Linked DNA regions of Saccharomyces cerevisiae S288C. Changing the gene in region 1 together with any one later gene gives a genetic interaction. Each region holds a gene or a part of one and is shown in the gene's direction. Other genes may lie near its edges.

What was found.
Region 2: mutations in CTP1 (region 1) and IDH2 together harm fitness more than expected from each alone (negative genetic interaction), as found in Saccharomyces cerevisiae (4 studies listed by BioGRID).
Region 3: mutations in CTP1 (region 1) and MKK1 together harm fitness more than expected from each alone (negative genetic interaction), as found in Saccharomyces cerevisiae (3 studies listed by BioGRID).
Region 4: mutations in CTP1 (region 1) and IDH1 together harm fitness more than expected from each alone (negative genetic interaction), as found in Saccharomyces cerevisiae (4 studies listed by BioGRID).

The regions. Positions count from the first base shown.
Region 1 is NC_001134.8:782,467-786,840, reverse strand, and holds CTP1 (Ctp1p), read left to right. Parts: upstream 1-2,268; coding exon 2,269-3,168; downstream 3,169-4,374. Other genes in the region: YBR292C (uncharacterized protein), read left to right, coding at 1,768-2,139; BSD2 (Bsd2p), read right to left, coding at 3,285-4,250. UniProt on the Saccharomyces cerevisiae protein: Transport of citrate across inner mitochondrial membrane.
Region 2 is NC_001147.6:578,144-582,683, forward strand, and holds IDH2 (isocitrate dehydrogenase (NAD(+)) IDH2), read left to right. Parts: upstream 1-2,106; coding exon 2,107-3,216; downstream 3,217-4,540. Other genes in the region: GTPase-activating protein BAG7, read left to right, coding at 421-1,650; SIA1 (Sia1p), read right to left, coding at 3,670-4,540. UniProt on the Saccharomyces cerevisiae protein: Performs an essential role in the oxidative function of the citric acid cycle. Also binds RNA; specifically to the 5'-untranslated leaders of mitochondrial mRNAs.
Region 3 is NC_001147.6:769,755-774,627, forward strand, and holds MKK1 (mitogen-activated protein kinase kinase MKK1), read left to right. Parts: upstream 1-2,846; coding exon 2,847-4,373; downstream 4,374-4,873. Other genes in the region: WTM2 (transcriptional modulator), read left to right, coding at 1-58; WTM1 (transcriptional modulator), read left to right, coding at 1,046-2,359; mitochondrial nucleotide exchange factor MGE1, read left to right, coding at 4,819-4,873. UniProt on the Saccharomyces cerevisiae protein: Involved in a signal transduction pathway that play a role in yeast cell morphogenesis and cell growth.
Region 4 is NC_001146.8:556,620-560,886, reverse strand, and holds IDH1 (isocitrate dehydrogenase (NAD(+)) IDH1), read left to right. Parts: upstream 1-1,884; coding exon 1,885-2,967; downstream 2,968-4,267. Other genes in the region: carbonate dehydratase NCE103, read right to left, coding at 408-1,073; phosphatidylinositol N-acetylglucosaminyltransferase GPI15, read right to left, coding at 3,104-3,202, 3,277-3,867; transcription factor TFIIIB subunit BDP1, read right to left, coding at 4,055-4,267. UniProt on the Saccharomyces cerevisiae protein: Performs an essential role in the oxidative function of the citric acid cycle. Also binds RNA; specifically to the 5'-untranslated leaders of mitochondrial mRNAs.

The DNA.
Region 1 (4,374 bases):
ACTGTAGTCGACAGAAGGAATTTCAGTCTCTTCAATACTGCCATAGTTTCCATCCTTGCTTTTCGGTAGTACTTTGTGTTTACTAGATTTAAGCATTGCGAAAAAAAATCTGATTTGGAATTAATGTTTCATTTACTACATTTTAAAGCATTTTGTACCATTCAGAGGCAAGAATTGGCCAATACTGTGTGTTCTTATAACGATAACTAGTATATATATTCTCGAAATTGTATATTTCTGTGGATTTGCACACAATCATCTAATAGCAAATTAGGAAGAAAGCCACACATGCACATATATCGCATCACTTACCGAGCCTTAGAATGTGGTTGCCACACATTAGGACATGTTACCCCCCGCACCTAGCAGAAATATAGTATTAATCTATCAGTGCTCAACACAATGTGATATCAGTACAATTCTTCATGCCATGGTACGTCGTCTCTATTTTCTTTTATATTCTGTTTATTATATCATGTTCTAAAAATGTCATATATACAATTCTGAAAAGGTTTTTGACCCTTACGTAACGCTATTCGGTCAACTACTTGTGAGACATATATTGTTCAAATATGTAAATGAAGAAAAGTACGCCTATTACTAGGATCCACAATACCGTAAAGCCTGTTAAACAAGGAGGAACAATATATATATCATAATTTTTTTAGAAAGAAAAGCCAAAGAAACAGCATTTGCAGGCACAAATCCGTGATAATAATGCATAGAACAATATGTGAAACCCCACAAGGTTACTGGTCGGATGATGAGCGAGCCCAGAGAAACCAACAGACCTCTGTAAACATCACTATGCCTTATCACCACACTTTACCATAATGCATTGAAAGTGCAATTGGAGAAGCCACCAATAGACGAGCTATGATGATATATTTAGCGTCCCTTAAAATATCGACTTATACAGTGGATAACATTTCCGCTCGCATTCCTCGAAGAGCATTATTTCCAAACTACTGTTGAAAAAAAAAAAATACGAAGACGACGCTTACCTGAGCACCCAGGATGTACACTTCGCCACAAATTTTGAGAGGCCTTTTGTTGTGATATTAGTTGAAATATATAACCACTTAATCAGGCAAAAAGACAGCAGTCACTATTTCAAGTTGGTAAAAAAATCCTGTTTTCGCTAATTGTCGATTTGGCCTTTCACCTGGACTTGAAAGCTTCAATTACGGCCTGATACATTCATTCTTTATACTGACCTTTGCCCAATTTATTATCCAGAACTATAGCCATTAGGTTGCAGGCCACTGGGACCACCACTGACTGGAAAATATTCTATTGACGAATTTTCCGCAACTCATCGCTGATTAGTTTATGAACTTATCCCGTCGGAATGAGAAAGTTACATATGCAGGAATTCTCTACAAGCAGCAATAACATGCTTTTATTTTACTGTCGTATTGTAATTGCTTATTCGGTTCCAAACATGTCAGCTATGCCAATATTTTAGAAGAGTGGGAAAAAAAAGAGATGTTATAGACGAACGACAAAAGTTGTGAAAAACTCGAATGGAGTAATGGAGCAAGAAACAAGAATCTGTCATAGTCAATACGTGATTTTGATATGCTTTCAAGCTTCTGAGAACTTCATTCATTACACTCCACCACATATACTATACAACGAATAGCCCAGTCGAAGAGGTTATGATTGTGTTCATTTATTTTTTTACATGACAGAGTCTCCCTATTGATACTAAGCTTGCTGCAATAACTCTTCTTACTAAGAGGTAACTTACATCTTGACTTTTTAATGAAGTTCCCAGCCGATTACCATTATACGTCGCCGTTTCGTTCATGTAAATATTCAAATATACTACACTTTATATCTTTGCTTCTTATATTTTCGCGCGTAGGTTTGCCTAATTACATTTTTATATTCCTCATCAATAAAGCCGCCAACAAAGAGCACAGGGTAGAAACTCTGCTGTCTGGGAACTCGGCTAACGCTTGTAAGCTATTTAATATTCTCAAATCATTTCAACACCTCTTTTTTTTTTTTCAAATATGTACTATTTTCTCTATTTCCATTAAGTTAGTCTTACTGAAGAGTCAAGAATATGGAAGAATTCCTGCGGAATTTTCAATTATTAGAAGTGAAAAAAAAAAAAAAGAAGAACAATGAAATTTAGTCTCACTTTAGCGTGATATATAAAACGTAAAATGTCGAAGCCAACGTAAAATTAAAAACATTTTGATGTCACAATGAAAGAACTCCAAAGTAGAGCTTGAATTATAAATTAGCATTTTACCGATGTCCAGTAAAGCTACCAAAAGTGACGTAGATCCATTGCACTCGTTTCTGGCAGGGTCCCTAGCCGGTGCTGCTGAAGCATGTATAACATATCCTTTTGAGTTTGCCAAAACAAGGCTGCAGCTGATTGATAAGGCCTCCAAGGCATCAAGAAATCCTCTGGTATTGATATATAAAACTGCAAAAACTCAGGGCATTGGTTCCATTTATGTCGGATGTCCCGCATTTATTATTGGAAACACCGCTAAGGCGGGTATTAGATTTCTTGGCTTTGATACCATTAAAGACATGCTAAGAGATAGTGAAACTGGAGAACTAAGTGGTACAAGAGGGGTGATAGCTGGGTTAGGTGCGGGACTATTAGAAAGTGTTGCCGCAGTGACTCCTTTTGAAGCAATCAAAACTGCTTTGATCGATGATAAACAATCTGCTACACCAAAATACCATAATAATGGGCGCGGTGTAGTACGAAACTATTCATCATTAGTCCGTGATAAAGGATTTTCTGGTCTTTATCGTGGTGTTTTGCCAGTTTCCATGAGACAGGCCGCAAACCAAGCCGTTAGATTGGGTTGTTACAATAAGATTAAGACCTTGATCCAAGATTATACGGATTCGCCAAAAGACAAACCTTTATCATCCGGGTTAACCTTCTTAGTGGGTGCATTTAGTGGTATTGTGACGGTCTATTCCACCATGCCCCTTGATACTGTGAAAACAAGAATGCAAAGTTTGGATTCCACCAAATACTCCTCTACAATGAATTGTTTTGCAACCATTTTCAAAGAAGAAGGGTTAAAGACGTTTTGGAAAGGTGCTACGCCTAGACTTGGGAGATTGGTCTTGAGTGGTGGTATTGTTTTCACTATCTATGAAAAGGTCTTAGTTATGCTAGCCTGAAATGTATTATTGTGTACAATATATCATCTAATGTTTTCTACTCGTTATAAGTCTATTTACCAGCCGATCACTTAAAAAAGTTATATATCTCTTTTTATCATAATGAAGAAGATGGCTTATGCTTGATTTTGACTTTGGTTGAGGTATTTCTTTTCCAATTTTTTGACTTGAATGTAGTCGTATATACTCTTCAGGGTGATAAATAGCCCAAGAAATGCCACAAAAACAGCCAACCATGGTATGTTTTGTTTTTCTTCATCCAGACCGTGATTCAAATGTGATTCAAATTTATCTTGTGTCGTTGATTGTGAATTTAGACGAACATCATCGAATTCATTTGGATCCTCTAATTCCATTCTATTTAAGCTTTTATTTTTGCCGACTTTTGAAGTAACATCATTGGGAATCATTGAATAACCATATCCAATGAACGTTAACCCTAATCCAAACCTTGAACCTTGCTTTGCTGCGTGAGATGTGTGTAAAATGTAGGTTATTAAAAATCCAATGAACTGAAAACTCGTGCTTACGATGATATTCCATAATAAATTTGCTATATTTCCTACAGGAAGCCCCTCAATGCATATTTCGTCGTAGTAGATATCTGAATTGTTCAAATCCATTCCATAATACGAGGGGGCCATATCAGCAGCAGCTTCGTCGTATGTAGGTGGTATGTCTTGTTCGTTATTACCTTCAGTCTCTGTGGTATCTGGTTTTGCGCTTAAATTGCTAAAGACACCATCAAACATGGCACCTTGTTGTATATCCGAAGACTGTTGTGTACGTTTCTTAAAAAGTCTATCAAGAATATTAAAATGTCTTCCTATTTTTCCTATATGTCTGGCTGCTTGTTCCCTCAGCTGGTGTGGTACTAGTCTTTCTGTCGTACTATTTCCTCCACTGCTGCTTCCCTCGTCCTCTATGCTATCTTCCTCGTCAGACCCTATTTCCGTTTCCCCTTCTACGCCAGTTTGTGTGTCTCTAGTTCGTCCTGCGTTTCCGACATTTATGCCATCAGTAGATGAACCTGCATGAAGTGTATTCATTTCTTGCCCTATAAGTAGTTCTTGCTCTGGCATAGCGCTTAGTTTCCTAGACTACGTGTTCTTGTTATTCTCATGCTCTTTTTATGTATCTAAATTGGAAGATTTTTATAAAGGTTATGTACTATTCTTCTAAAAAAAGTAGGCGCAAAGGGACTCC
Region 2 (4,540 bases), on another chromosome or scaffold:
TCGGGCTAAAACTCCCTCAAAACCGGAGGGGCAACCAAAGTATATATCTCATTATGGCCGATACTTCTAGAGGCGCACTAACAGAAGCACCTCAGCCCCTGCAGGTGAAAGAAAGAGGTAATTAATTTTCCGGTTACTTACTTTCTCTCGCTATTGGGGAAAGCGTTGGTTCGAGGCGTTGAGGTCGAAGACAATCATTGTTTTCTTCTTATTTAAGTACATCTTTAGAAGAAAATTACACAACTGGAATGAGTAAATCAATACTTGCTTTGTGTTCCCATTGTTAGATACTCTTGTTTTAGCATGTGATAGCAGTATATAATATAACCTGCAAAATAATCGAAACGCGTACACAGGAAAGAGTACATAAATAACCATAGTATATTTCTGGACATATCTTATTACACAACATAAAATAGAATGTTTAACATGAATCTACTTTCTACACCTTCTTCTGAAGAGGGTTCTCCACAGAATAGGTCATCTTCAATGTCTTCTGTTGAGGGCAAGAAGGATAGGGACACCTTTACTAATTTGCAAAACGAATTTGATGGTAAAGTATTTGGCGTCTCACTCGAGGAATCACTGAAAGTTGCTCAAGAGGAAGTAATTATCCAAAAAAGTACAAATGAAATTGGTTCCATACCGGTGGTAATAGCAAAAAGTGGGAAATACCTAAAAGAGAATGCATTAGACACAACAGGAATTTTCCGTATTGCGGGAAGCAATAAACGTGTTAGAGAGCTACAAGCTGTTTTCTCTAAACCGCCCGATTATGGTCGTAAATTTGAAGGATGGTGTGATTTCAATGTTCATGACATTGCAACTTTATTAAAAAGATATTTGAACTCATTAAGTGAGCCTTTGGTTCCCCTAGCATTATACGACATTTTTAGAAATCCAATATTAGAAAACCCAAAAATAAATGAGCACAAAGAACAAATCATTAAGGACTACGAAGATATTTATATGCTCTTACCACAACAAAATCGCCATTTAATACTTTATTTAGCCGCGCTCTTGAATTTATTTGCAAGAAATGAAAAGAAGAATTTAATGTCAGCAAGCAATTTAGCGGCCATCGTACAACCCTCACTTTTGTCTCATCCCAAGGATGAAATGTGCCCGAAAGAGTATGAGGCTTCCAGAACTGTCATCGAATTCCTCATACTACACGCTTCAGATATAATACCGAATACGGAAAAAGCGAATAAGGACACCATGCCGCATGCAGGAACAGTAGCAAAGTTTAACAACATTACCGTTCCTGAAATGGCTATTGACTCCGATGAAGAAGATTTTGTGCACCCTTCAATAGATGACCATATGCTTCCAAGGTCACGTGCACTTTCTGACTCCAACAATTTTACCATACATCATCATCATCATCATCATCATGCACTGTTTCCTAGCCCAATAGATTTTGATAACAATGGGCTTTCTGTACCGAGATCCTTTAAAGGTAGAACATTGAGTGCAGAGTCCCTTTCTCCCAGACTTAGTAAATTACTTGGGAACGTTGGAAACAGCAGCAATACTGGCATCAAAGACCCTACAGAAAGAGTTCCTAGAGGTGAACATAAAACCAAACACAAACAACGACAGTCATGGTTGAGAAGACTCACTAGCCCTTCTAGAACGCAGCCTTAGCTTCCTAAGCACTGTGATCTGCTAGTCGATTCCGAGGTTCGGCGAAGAAATTGTCGTTGCCCCGCCAGGGGCCTTTTGCGATACTCGGCGCTTCTTTCAGCAATCTCGGTCCGCATCTCGGCAAGGGGGGGCATGACACGGGCCGCTCTGGTTGGTCAGTTCCTATTTTCTGTAACTTCCATTGTTTGGTTAAAGAATATATAAGTTATTGAAAAGCTCATAGGTCCCTTATTATAGGCCCTAAGGTTTTAGTTTCTCATCATAGTCATATCAGAAAAACCCTCCTTCTAAAGTTTTCCTCTTTTCTTATTTCTTTTTCATTTATTATTCATATTTATATAAATATATATTCCAAGTGCATGACATTATTGGATACACTTTTTCTGAACCTGAATTACCTTGGTAGATAATAAGATACAGATCGGGAACGAACAACAATTATAATATTTTTTAATAATGTTGAGAAATACTTTTTTTAGAAACACCTCGAGGAGGTTTTTGGCTACTGTAAAGCAACCTTCAATCGGAAGATATACCGGCAAACCTAACCCTTCTACCGGCAAATACACGGTCTCGTTCATTGAAGGTGATGGTATCGGACCTGAAATTTCCAAGTCTGTAAAGAAAATCTTTAGTGCAGCAAACGTCCCCATAGAATGGGAATCTTGTGATGTTAGCCCTATCTTTGTCAACGGATTAACGACCATTCCTGACCCTGCCGTACAATCTATCACAAAAAACCTGGTTGCACTAAAAGGTCCACTAGCTACACCTATTGGTAAAGGTCACAGATCTTTGAATTTGACATTGAGAAAAACATTTGGGTTATTTGCCAACGTTCGTCCCGCAAAGTCTATTGAAGGTTTTAAGACCACTTACGAAAACGTTGATTTAGTTCTTATCAGAGAGAATACCGAAGGTGAATATTCTGGTATCGAACACATAGTTTGCCCTGGCGTTGTTCAATCTATTAAACTGATCACAAGAGATGCCTCTGAGCGAGTCATTAGATACGCTTTTGAATATGCAAGAGCCATCGGCAGACCAAGAGTTATTGTGGTACATAAATCTACTATCCAGAGATTAGCTGATGGTTTATTCGTTAATGTTGCCAAAGAACTATCCAAAGAGTATCCTGACCTTACTTTAGAAACTGAACTTATTGATAACAGTGTGTTAAAGGTGGTCACCAACCCATCTGCTTACACAGACGCTGTTTCTGTTTGTCCAAATCTATACGGTGATATCTTGTCCGACTTGAACTCTGGTTTGAGCGCCGGTTCTTTAGGTTTAACTCCATCTGCCAATATTGGTCATAAAATCTCGATCTTTGAAGCTGTCCATGGCTCTGCCCCTGATATTGCCGGTCAAGATAAAGCGAATCCAACTGCCCTACTTTTATCTTCAGTAATGATGTTAAACCACATGGGTCTAACGAATCATGCTGACCAAATTCAAAATGCAGTATTGTCTACTATCGCATCAGGTCCAGAAAACAGAACAGGTGACTTGGCTGGTACTGCTACTACTTCATCATTCACTGAAGCAGTCATCAAGAGATTATAAAAGTCCTATTCTTTTCCCTCTCAGGTTTTTTCACGCCTTGAAAACAAATGACTATCCGTTTAATATAATGATTTCTGAAAGATTATGAAGTAAAAAAAAGCAAAATGCTTAGATATATAATATATACATACAATAAAAATTCCGTATCTACTCCAAACTTCTATGGCTTTGTCCTCAATGTGTTCTGATGTTTATTTAATAGCCTGAAGTTTTTATTAAGTATGTATACTTTTCGATATTTATTCTTTTAATAATGCTACAGGAGACCATAAGTGATAACTCAAAATGTCCCTCAGTGGACTTGTAAACCAAAAAAAAAAAAAAAGAAAAAGAATTAAATATATTATGTGTAAAAAGAAAACACCACCGTGTGTTATGTATATTTTGTTTATGTCTATCTATCATCTATCCTGCTGGCAGTCAATGTTCACCTTACAAAATTAATCATTGAAATTATTGCTTCCCCTTATAGATGTACTGATAATCGTAAACCTCGTCAACAAGATTGCTATTCCTCTTCCACGAAGTTATTTCGTCCAAAATATCATCCAAGTTAAATAATCTAACGGTTGGATATATACCTTGGATTCTCGGCAAGCCTATACCAGCGGACCCACCGTAACATAACCACATCTCATTTTTTGACTGTAAGCAACAGTCATTATTATGTTCATGTCCGCAACTGACACCCTTTATATTCCAAAGACTCAGGATATCAAGGAAGCTTTTGTAATGTTTGCCATTGATCGTCATTGAAACTTGTCCTCTAGACCTTGGCGTATCTACTGTTAAGGTAGACCTCTCATTATACTGCCCAATAATAGGAAATAAACCATGAGGCCTATATTCCGATAATGGAAAATATTGAAATGCCAAGCCAAAGTCTATTTTCCCAATCAGGTCGTTATAATCTTGTAGGAAATTATTGACGGGCGCAAATGAATCAAAGACGAAAAATAAAGCCTCTGATGGGTTTGTTTCGTCTTCGGTATCAATGTCTCTTTCCAAAAGAGTATTCTTCGTGAGCTTCTTTTTAAATGAGACTTCTATGGCCATATGACCCTCTTCTGATGCAACGTTGTTAAATGTGTAAGGTAAATTCCTGATAAAGTCTCTAATTTGTGCCGATGTGGCCAAATTGGATTCGTCAGAAACACCCAATGAAATTGCGTAGGGTATTTTATTAGAAATCATTGGTTGGACAACTTTCATAATGCACGTTTGATAGTCGATAGTATTATGTGAGTCTAACAAATCACCTGTGATCACAACTAAATCAGGGTTTTCTGATGCGAGTACCCTATCAATAAAATTTACTGTTTTT
Region 3 (4,873 bases), on another chromosome or scaffold:
TACTGCCTACAAACCATTTCTGGCCAGTGACTTCATTGGCAGAGGTTACGACGATTAAAAAAAAAAAAGAGTAAGAAATTAACGTTACCACCTATGGGAAAGGCAGTAACTCACAAGCATTCACGTACATAATTCTGTTTTTTTTTTTTTTATTCATTTCTAGCACGCTATCGGGGTTATTTTTTTTTTTGTAATATATAGTGATGGTATAATGTTGTATAGATACTGGTATCGCTCCTAATAAAGACTCTTTCAGATTTCTGAAGCCAACGAAGTAAGGCCTCAAGAAAAGAGGGTTACCAGTAATTAACCAAGCAATTTCTTTTTTTTCTTTCCAGCAAAGAAATAAGACAAAAACCGGCTATATGGAGAAGAGGGAGGATCTAATGGTGACATAGTCCATTTCAAGATTCCCTCTTTCGTTTCTCGGATGAAGCTCGATGTTTACAATTCAGAATCTTAAAAGGCTGTCGCTAAGAAAGACCCAGAGGCACATGCAAGATAGTTGTGCCTGTACCACGTGAGAAGGCGGTATTCAATATGCGGTGCTGTGCTGGCTTCCCTTTTTGGAACGCGCCGGGGTATAACAAAGAAAGGCTAAGTCATACAATAGGCAAAAGACCTTTGTCTTTCCTTTTTTTCCTCTTTCCTAACATACGGTGGTTTATGTACTATCCCTTATGTAATTGCTTAGCTATACACAGTGAGCACACATAGTGGCGCTCACTACTCCCTTTTAATTTCAACTCGTAGATAGTTGGGCTATTTTCCTTCGAATCCTCGTTTATCATCTCATATTTAAGAGTACCATTTCGGGGCTTTTTTTTACCTTTTCCTTTTCCATGCAGTCTGTCCCCTTAATGTTCTATGTTTTTTTTTTTTTTTTTTCAGTTCTGTAGCTTCCAGTATAAAGGGAGGGAAAAAAGAAGATCCGAAAAGTTTATATTCGCCTGAATTGTAGATATTAGATAAGAAAATTAATTATTAATCAACCAATCTTGAAAGATACAAATAAATTGTAACACACTATACATTACAACCAAAAATGCCAAAAAAGGTTTGGAAATCATCTACGCCTTCCACTTATGAACATATCTCCAGCTTAAGACCAAAATTTGTGTCTCGTGTGGACAATGTTCTGCACCAAAGGAAGTCCTTGACGTTCAGCAACGTTGTTGTTCCAGATAAAAAAAATAACACTCTAACCTCAAGTGTTATATACTCTCAAGGTAGTGATATCTACGAAATTGACTTCGCTGTACCACTACAAGAAGCCGCTTCAGAACCGGTGAAAGACTATGGTGACGCCTTTGAAGGTATTGAAAACACCTCGTTGAGCCCAAAATTCGTGTACCAGGGTGAAACTGTCTCCAAAATGGCCTACTTAGATAAGACTGGAGAAACTACATTATTGTCGATGTCTAAGAACGGGTCGTTGGCTTGGTTCAAAGAGGGTATAAAGGTCCCTATTCACATTGTACAGGAATTGATGGGTCCAGCAACCAGCTATGCCAGCATCCATTCTTTAACCAGACCTGGTGATCTACCTGAAAAGGATTTCTCATTAGCCATCTCTGACTTCGGCATTTCCAATGATACCGAAACCATTGTGAAGTCTCAGAGTAATGGTGATGAAGAAGACAGTATTTTGAAAATCATTGACAATGCCGGTAAGCCTGGTGAGATTCTACGTACTGTTCATGTGCCTGGTACCACTGTGACTCACACCGTAAGATTTTTCGACAATCATATCTTTGCGTCTTGTTCAGATGACAATATTCTGAGGTTCTGGGACACTAGAACTTCCGACAAGCCTATATGGGTGTTGGGAGAACCAAAGAACGGAAAATTGACCTCGTTTGATTGCTCTCAGGTTTCCAACAACTTGTTTGTTACCGGTTTCAGTACGGGTATTATCAAGTTATGGGATGCCAGAGCGGCTGAAGCTGCCACCACTGATTTGACTTATAGACAAAACGGTGAAGATCCAATTCAGAATGAAATCGCTAACTTCTATCATGCCGGCGGTGATTCTGTTGTCGACGTCCAATTTTCTGCCACTTCAAGCTCTGAATTCTTTACTGTGGGCGGCACTGGTAATATTTACCACTGGAACACTGACTATTCCTTGTCAAAGTACAATCCTGACGATACCATTGCTCCTCCTCAAGATGCCACTGAAGAATCACAAACAAAATCTCTGAGATTCTTGCACAAGGGTGGAAGCAGAAGATCTCCAAAACAGATTGGAAGAAGAAACACCGCCGCTTGGCATCCAGTTATTGAAAACTTGGTTGGTACTGTCGATGACGATAGTTTAGTCAGCATCTACAAGCCCTATACCGAGGAAAGCGAATAGTCGCCATGCTAAACGCGCGGAACAAGGCCATATTTATATATTTAATGCTTTTAACTATTATTAGTTTTTCTCACCCAGGGCTGGTTTCTTTACCCTGTGTGATGAAAGTGCGCGCCTAAAGTTATGTATGAGCTACTGTTAGTATATTTATTATTCAATATTTAATTAAACAATACTTACTACTGATGAAAGATACCGTACACCTGCTGGCGAATAAGTCACTATACACGAGCAATTATATTTCTCAGGTCATTGCGACAATTGAAAAATCGGATCGACTGATTATCATTAAGGCGTGTGACGGCTCAGAATAAGGAAGTTCTATTTTAAAGGGCAGCAAAAATTTGGCACAATTTAAAAAGAAAGTTGGTCTCTGGTAGGGTTGGATCCGGTTTTTCATAACTTGCGTTTCATTTATGGTTGCGTATTTCTCGCAGTGTACATAGACCAAATTAACTCTATCCTTCCATTGCACAATTTGCCCAGTATGGCTTCACTGTTCAGACCCCCAGAATCTGCGAAATGCAACCCAAACTCTCCTAGACTTAAACTGCCCCTCTTACGAAATAATCAGGTAGATGAAAATAATATATACTTGACGTCGAATGGGAGTTCCACCACAGCTTACAGTAGCCACACCCCAGAACCACTGACCTCTTCCACATCGACACTTTTCTCCCAAACTCGACTTCATCCTAGCGACTCTTCAATGACTTTAAATACAATGAAGAAGAGGCCTGCACCGCCATCTTTACCTTCGCTCAGCATAAATTCACAGTCTAAGTGCAAAACACTACCCGAACTCGTACCCATCGCCGATGTGTCTGATGGTAAACATGATTTAGGATTGAAACAGCGTGTGATAGCCGAAAATGAGTTGTCTGGTAATAGTGACTTAACCCCTTCATCGATGGCAAGCCCCTTTTCACATACAAACACCTCTTCTCCCTACCTCAGAAATGATCTGAGCAATTCAGTGGGATCTGACTTTTCAAATTTGATATCGGCATATGAACAAAGTTCAAGTCCCATCAAGTCATCGTCCCAGCCTAAATCATCTTCTGAATCGTACATAGACTTAAACAGTGTACGAGATGTTGATCAATTGGATGAAAATGGTTGGAAATATGCAAATTTAAAAGATAGGATCGAGACATTAGGCATTCTAGGAGAAGGAGCCGGTGGCTCTGTTTCCAAGTGTAAATTGAAAAATGGATCAAAAATATTCGCTTTAAAAGTGATAAACACATTAAATACAGATCCCGAGTATCAGAAGCAAATATTCAGAGAATTACAGTTTAATAGGAGTTTCCAATCCGAATATATCGTACGATATTATGGAATGTTTACGGATGACGAAAACTCTTCAATTTATATTGCTATGGAGTACATGGGTGGGCGATCGTTGGATGCTATTTATAAAAATTTGTTAGAGCGTGGTGGTAGGATCAGTGAAAAAGTCCTGGGGAAGATTGCAGAAGCGGTACTAAGAGGACTATCATATTTGCATGAAAAAAAAGTTATTCATAGAGATATTAAGCCCCAGAATATTTTACTGAATGAAAATGGTCAGGTGAAACTTTGTGATTTTGGGGTCAGTGGAGAAGCCGTTAACTCGCTAGCCACAACATTCACGGGGACGTCATTCTATATGGCTCCAGAAAGGATTCAAGGTCAACCATACAGTGTCACATCTGATGTATGGTCACTTGGATTAACGATTTTGGAAGTGGCGAACGGGAAATTTCCATGCTCTTCCGAGAAGATGGCAGCCAATATAGCTCCCTTTGAATTGTTAATGTGGATTTTAACATTTACTCCTGAATTAAAGGATGAACCCGAATCTAATATCATATGGAGTCCATCATTCAAATCCTTTATCGACTACTGTCTGAAAAAAGATAGTCGTGAACGGCCATCTCCAAGACAAATGATCAATCATCCTTGGATAAAGGGTCAAATGAAAAAAAATGTCAATATGGAAAAATTCGTGAGGAAGTGCTGGAAAGATTAATCAATAAGCAATTTTTTGCGAACATGATTAAGTTTATTTTACTTTATTTCGCATTTTCCATAAAAAAATTTTCCTCCATACAAGATTCATACCCAGGATAGCCTAACTAAAATGTATGGCTTTATACAGCTTGACGACAAACTTAATTTGAATATATAGATATATTAATTTAATCAGCAGGATTAGCATTTAATGTCTTACATGTCTTTGTATTTGGCATACGTATTCAGTGATATTTTAATACCTCGCAACGCAATTTCCAGCGAGTTTACGTTTGAAGCAAACGTAACTCCCATGAGTTATACATAACGCCTGCTGCAGCTGAACCAGAACAATATACCGTGGTATTACCGTAAGCATTTGAAAACAATAATAAGTTTCCAAGTGCCGCTTTAGATCCAAAGTACAAGGACATATTGTGGAAGAGTAAGTTGAATATTTGAAAATGAGAGCTTTTTCAGCAGCCACCGTTAGGGCCACAACTAGGAAGTCGTTCATCC
Region 4 (4,267 bases), on another chromosome or scaffold:
TGTAATATAGTCGTTAATGCTTAGTGTGTGCTACAGCGTTTCAACTTGACAAACATTGATGGGAAAAGCAACTTCAATTCGTTATATCTGACATTTGCTGGATCACAGACCGTAATAACGGGCTTCTATGGCCAAGTTGGTAAGGCGCCACACTAGTAATGTGGAGATCATCGGTTCAAATCCGATTGGAAGCATAATTTTTTTTCCATCATTCCTATTCAAAAGGTAAGATAGTGTATATCTGAACATGGAATGTGCAATTAAGACATTTATTTAAGTGTGATTTCTTTTTTTTTATAAAAGTTATAATGCATAATTTATATGAGTGGGGCTAAATATCCCCGTCTACTTTGTAAATGTCTTTCTATTTCAATGAATATTATATAAGTATATCGGTGAGGCTAAAACTATTTTGGGGTAACTTTTGTGTAAGTGCTAACTGTTTGCAGTAGACCGTCCTCTACGTTGTAAAGCAGACCGTATACCTGTAATTCTCCATTTTGTACAGCAGTTTGCACAGTAGGGTTTTCAATAATCCTATTAAACTGCCTTTTGACGTTACAGTGCGACAGGTAATGAGATTTTTCACGTTGCGTTTTCAAATGGATCAAATTTTGTGACTCTTCATGGTACATGGTGTCAATATCGTCTAAGTACTTGTACAGATGAGAACAGTTAACTTTTGGTAAGGCTTCCCTTTGGTTAGTTAAACATGTCTTTATACCACCACAATCAGTGTGGCCACAAATAATAACTTTGTTAACTTTTAGACAAATAATGGCAAACTCTAAAGTGGCCTTCAAAGTTAAATCCTCTGAGTGACATATGTTAGCAACATTTTTCCAAGTGAACACTTCGCCGGGCAAGACACCTAAACAGTTTTCGTTGTAACGCGAATCGGAGCAGCCGATGAAAAGAGTGTGAGGGGACTGGCCCTTCGCATTGTGATCTGGGAACAAAGTTGGCTGTATGTTGTTCATCTGGGAGGCCCATTTGGCATTGGCGGCCAAGATATCTTGTAGGTTTGAGTTGTGACTCAATGTGAATATAGATGAAGATTCGGTAGCGCTCATTCTGATGTGTAATAATTGAAATTTGTAGTCTTAGCTGTAGTTGATGTGGTTGGGGTTTTCAGAAGAAAACGAACAAGAATTAGAAGAGGACAGCTCTTACCTATCCTCGAGAATCATTACTTCCTAAGTATTTATAGTACTCTATGTCAGCCTACTTGTTCATTTCAAAATTACTCATCGAGAGAGGGGGAGGAAGGAATCACTAGTAATTTTTTCGGCTTGATAAGCGTCATGGTGACAATGCGAATTAATTCAGTGGCGTCAAGTTAGCTCATTCTGACGTCAACATCGAAACGGGAACGAACGTTCGTGCGGGGTGATGGTTAGAAAGCACGTGACTTACGTTACTATCACGTGATAACAATCACACTGTACGGCTGATCAAATTTTTTTCGGCGCCGAGTTTAGGTGAATCACGTGTGCCTGACCACCTTCTCCGAGCATCGGGCGTCATAGGTCACTCATCAACCAACCATATTGCAGAAACCTTCTTTTATTTTTTTTGGTAGCTCGGTATTGTTATTTAGCGATTAAAGGAAGACCCTCATATATATATCCCCGTACAATACATGCCTACACTGAATATATATATAAGTGTTTTATGTGGGTGAGCACATAGGACTATCTATATTTTCCATAGGTCTTTTTTCTTGTTTTCTTCCGCTTCATTGGCTTATTCTTGATTGATTGATTTCTTTACTCTACCGTAGATCTATTTCAACAGTACCTTAATATTACTGGTAACAATCAAGGTTCATTATTCTCCCTATCCTCATTCTTCTCCCTTTTCCTCCATAATTGTAAGAGAAAAATGCTTAACAGAACAATTGCTAAGAGAACTTTAGCCACTGCCGCTCAGGCGGAACGCACCCTACCCAAGAAGTATGGCGGTCGTTTCACCGTCACTTTGATACCTGGTGACGGTGTTGGGAAAGAAATCACTGATTCAGTGAGAACCATTTTTGAGGCTGAAAATATCCCGATCGACTGGGAAACTATAAACATTAAGCAAACAGATCATAAGGAAGGCGTCTATGAAGCTGTTGAGTCTCTAAAGAGAAATAAGATTGGTCTTAAGGGGCTATGGCACACTCCTGCTGACCAAACAGGTCACGGTTCACTAAACGTTGCTTTGCGTAAACAACTAGATATCTACGCCAATGTGGCCCTTTTCAAATCCTTGAAGGGTGTCAAGACTAGAATTCCAGACATAGATTTGATTGTCATTAGAGAAAACACGGAGGGTGAGTTCTCAGGCCTGGAACATGAATCCGTCCCTGGTGTAGTGGAATCTTTGAAAGTTATGACTAGACCTAAGACAGAAAGGATCGCCAGATTTGCCTTTGACTTCGCCAAGAAATACAACAGAAAGTCTGTCACAGCTGTGCATAAGGCAAATATCATGAAGTTAGGTGACGGTCTGTTCAGAAATATAATAACTGAAATTGGCCAAAAAGAATATCCTGATATTGACGTATCGTCCATCATTGTCGACAATGCCTCCATGCAGGCGGTGGCCAAACCTCATCAATTTGATGTCCTAGTTACCCCTTCAATGTACGGTACCATCTTAGGCAACATTGGCGCTGCTTTGATCGGTGGTCCAGGATTGGTGGCAGGTGCCAACTTTGGCAGGGACTATGCTGTCTTCGAACCAGGTTCCAGACATGTTGGTTTAGATATTAAAGGCCAAAATGTGGCTAACCCAACTGCCATGATCCTTTCCTCCACGTTAATGTTGAACCATTTGGGTTTGAATGAATATGCTACTAGAATCTCAAAGGCAGTTCATGAAACGATCGCAGAAGGTAAGCATACCACTAGAGATATTGGTGGTTCCTCTTCTACTACTGACTTCACGAATGAAATCATCAACAAATTATCTACCATGTAATGAAAACAATTCCCCTTTTTTTTGTTCTGCAACTTAAGTGTGTTCAAATTCTTATCTATAATTATATATAAACATACACTAAAATATAAGTATATACCAAAATGTCTCAAGATTTTCTGTAATGATAATTTGATGTTCAATCTTTTGGTCTGCTCAGGGGTTTTTCTTGCTTACTGAGATATTTTCTAGATATGTTGTATATTAGACGTTGGTCATCGATACTGGGCAAATTTGACTGCATTGTTGTGTTAGTATTTCTAATCAGATCGTTGAAGTAAGAAACAATCTTAAATTCGCTTGAATACATACTGGAAATAATAGCTTAAGCGTAGACGATTTACGTACAATTGCTGCAAGATAGAATATCACTCGAAATCCCCGACAGAATCCTTCATTGATCACTACATCAATAATTCTTTCATTGGATATAAACTCTACTTGTTCAAAGAACTTCCGATTCCATTGTTGAGGAAATATAACCATACCCTTCACTCTGGACAGCTGTAGTCCACTTTCTTTGAAAATTGTTACAGTTTCCACACTAGGTCCCCTCACAAGTATAATTGTACCTAAGGCAAACAATCCCATTATAATTAAGATCTGGAAACTTCGCGCGATTGTCACTTCAAAAGTTCTATTAATATGTTCGAGAAATCTTGATCTTAGGCAAATTACATAGAACAAAATATTCAGTAGTAAAATAAGTACAATTTGGTGATATTGTATGCCCATGTTAATCTCTACCCTCCCATTTTGCTTGACTTTTTTGAACTTTCGGTTAGATACAGGTAAAACGGTAAATCTTATAAAATTGCCATTCTTGTCTTCATCGATAACTAATGTATACTTCTTTCTATTCAGTATACTAGTCTTACCAAATTCATACTCTTTACTAATCATATCATCCTTTTGTTTCTTTTGCTTATAGAACGATCCTCATATGTAACTTTCATAATACTGTTTTCGTTGCCAATTTTTTCTTCCGAACATCGCTTCATTTATTGATGCCGCGGTACACCTGAAGAAAATGATATAATACAACAAAAAGTTGTGCTATTTATCCATTATGTATGCATATAAATGTCTCTTATTGATCAATCTCAGGCTCTTCTTCACTTCCTTCATTATCCTCATTGTCATCATTATTCCTTTCTTTGAGTTTCTTCCTTTTCAAGTCATCAATTGTACCCAGAACAACTTCCGTTTTTCTATAAACTTTCAAATCATTTGTCATAATACCACCAGATCCCTTTTTATTCAAATTAGCATCATTTAGCCTTTGTGCAGTTTGGTCTTCCTC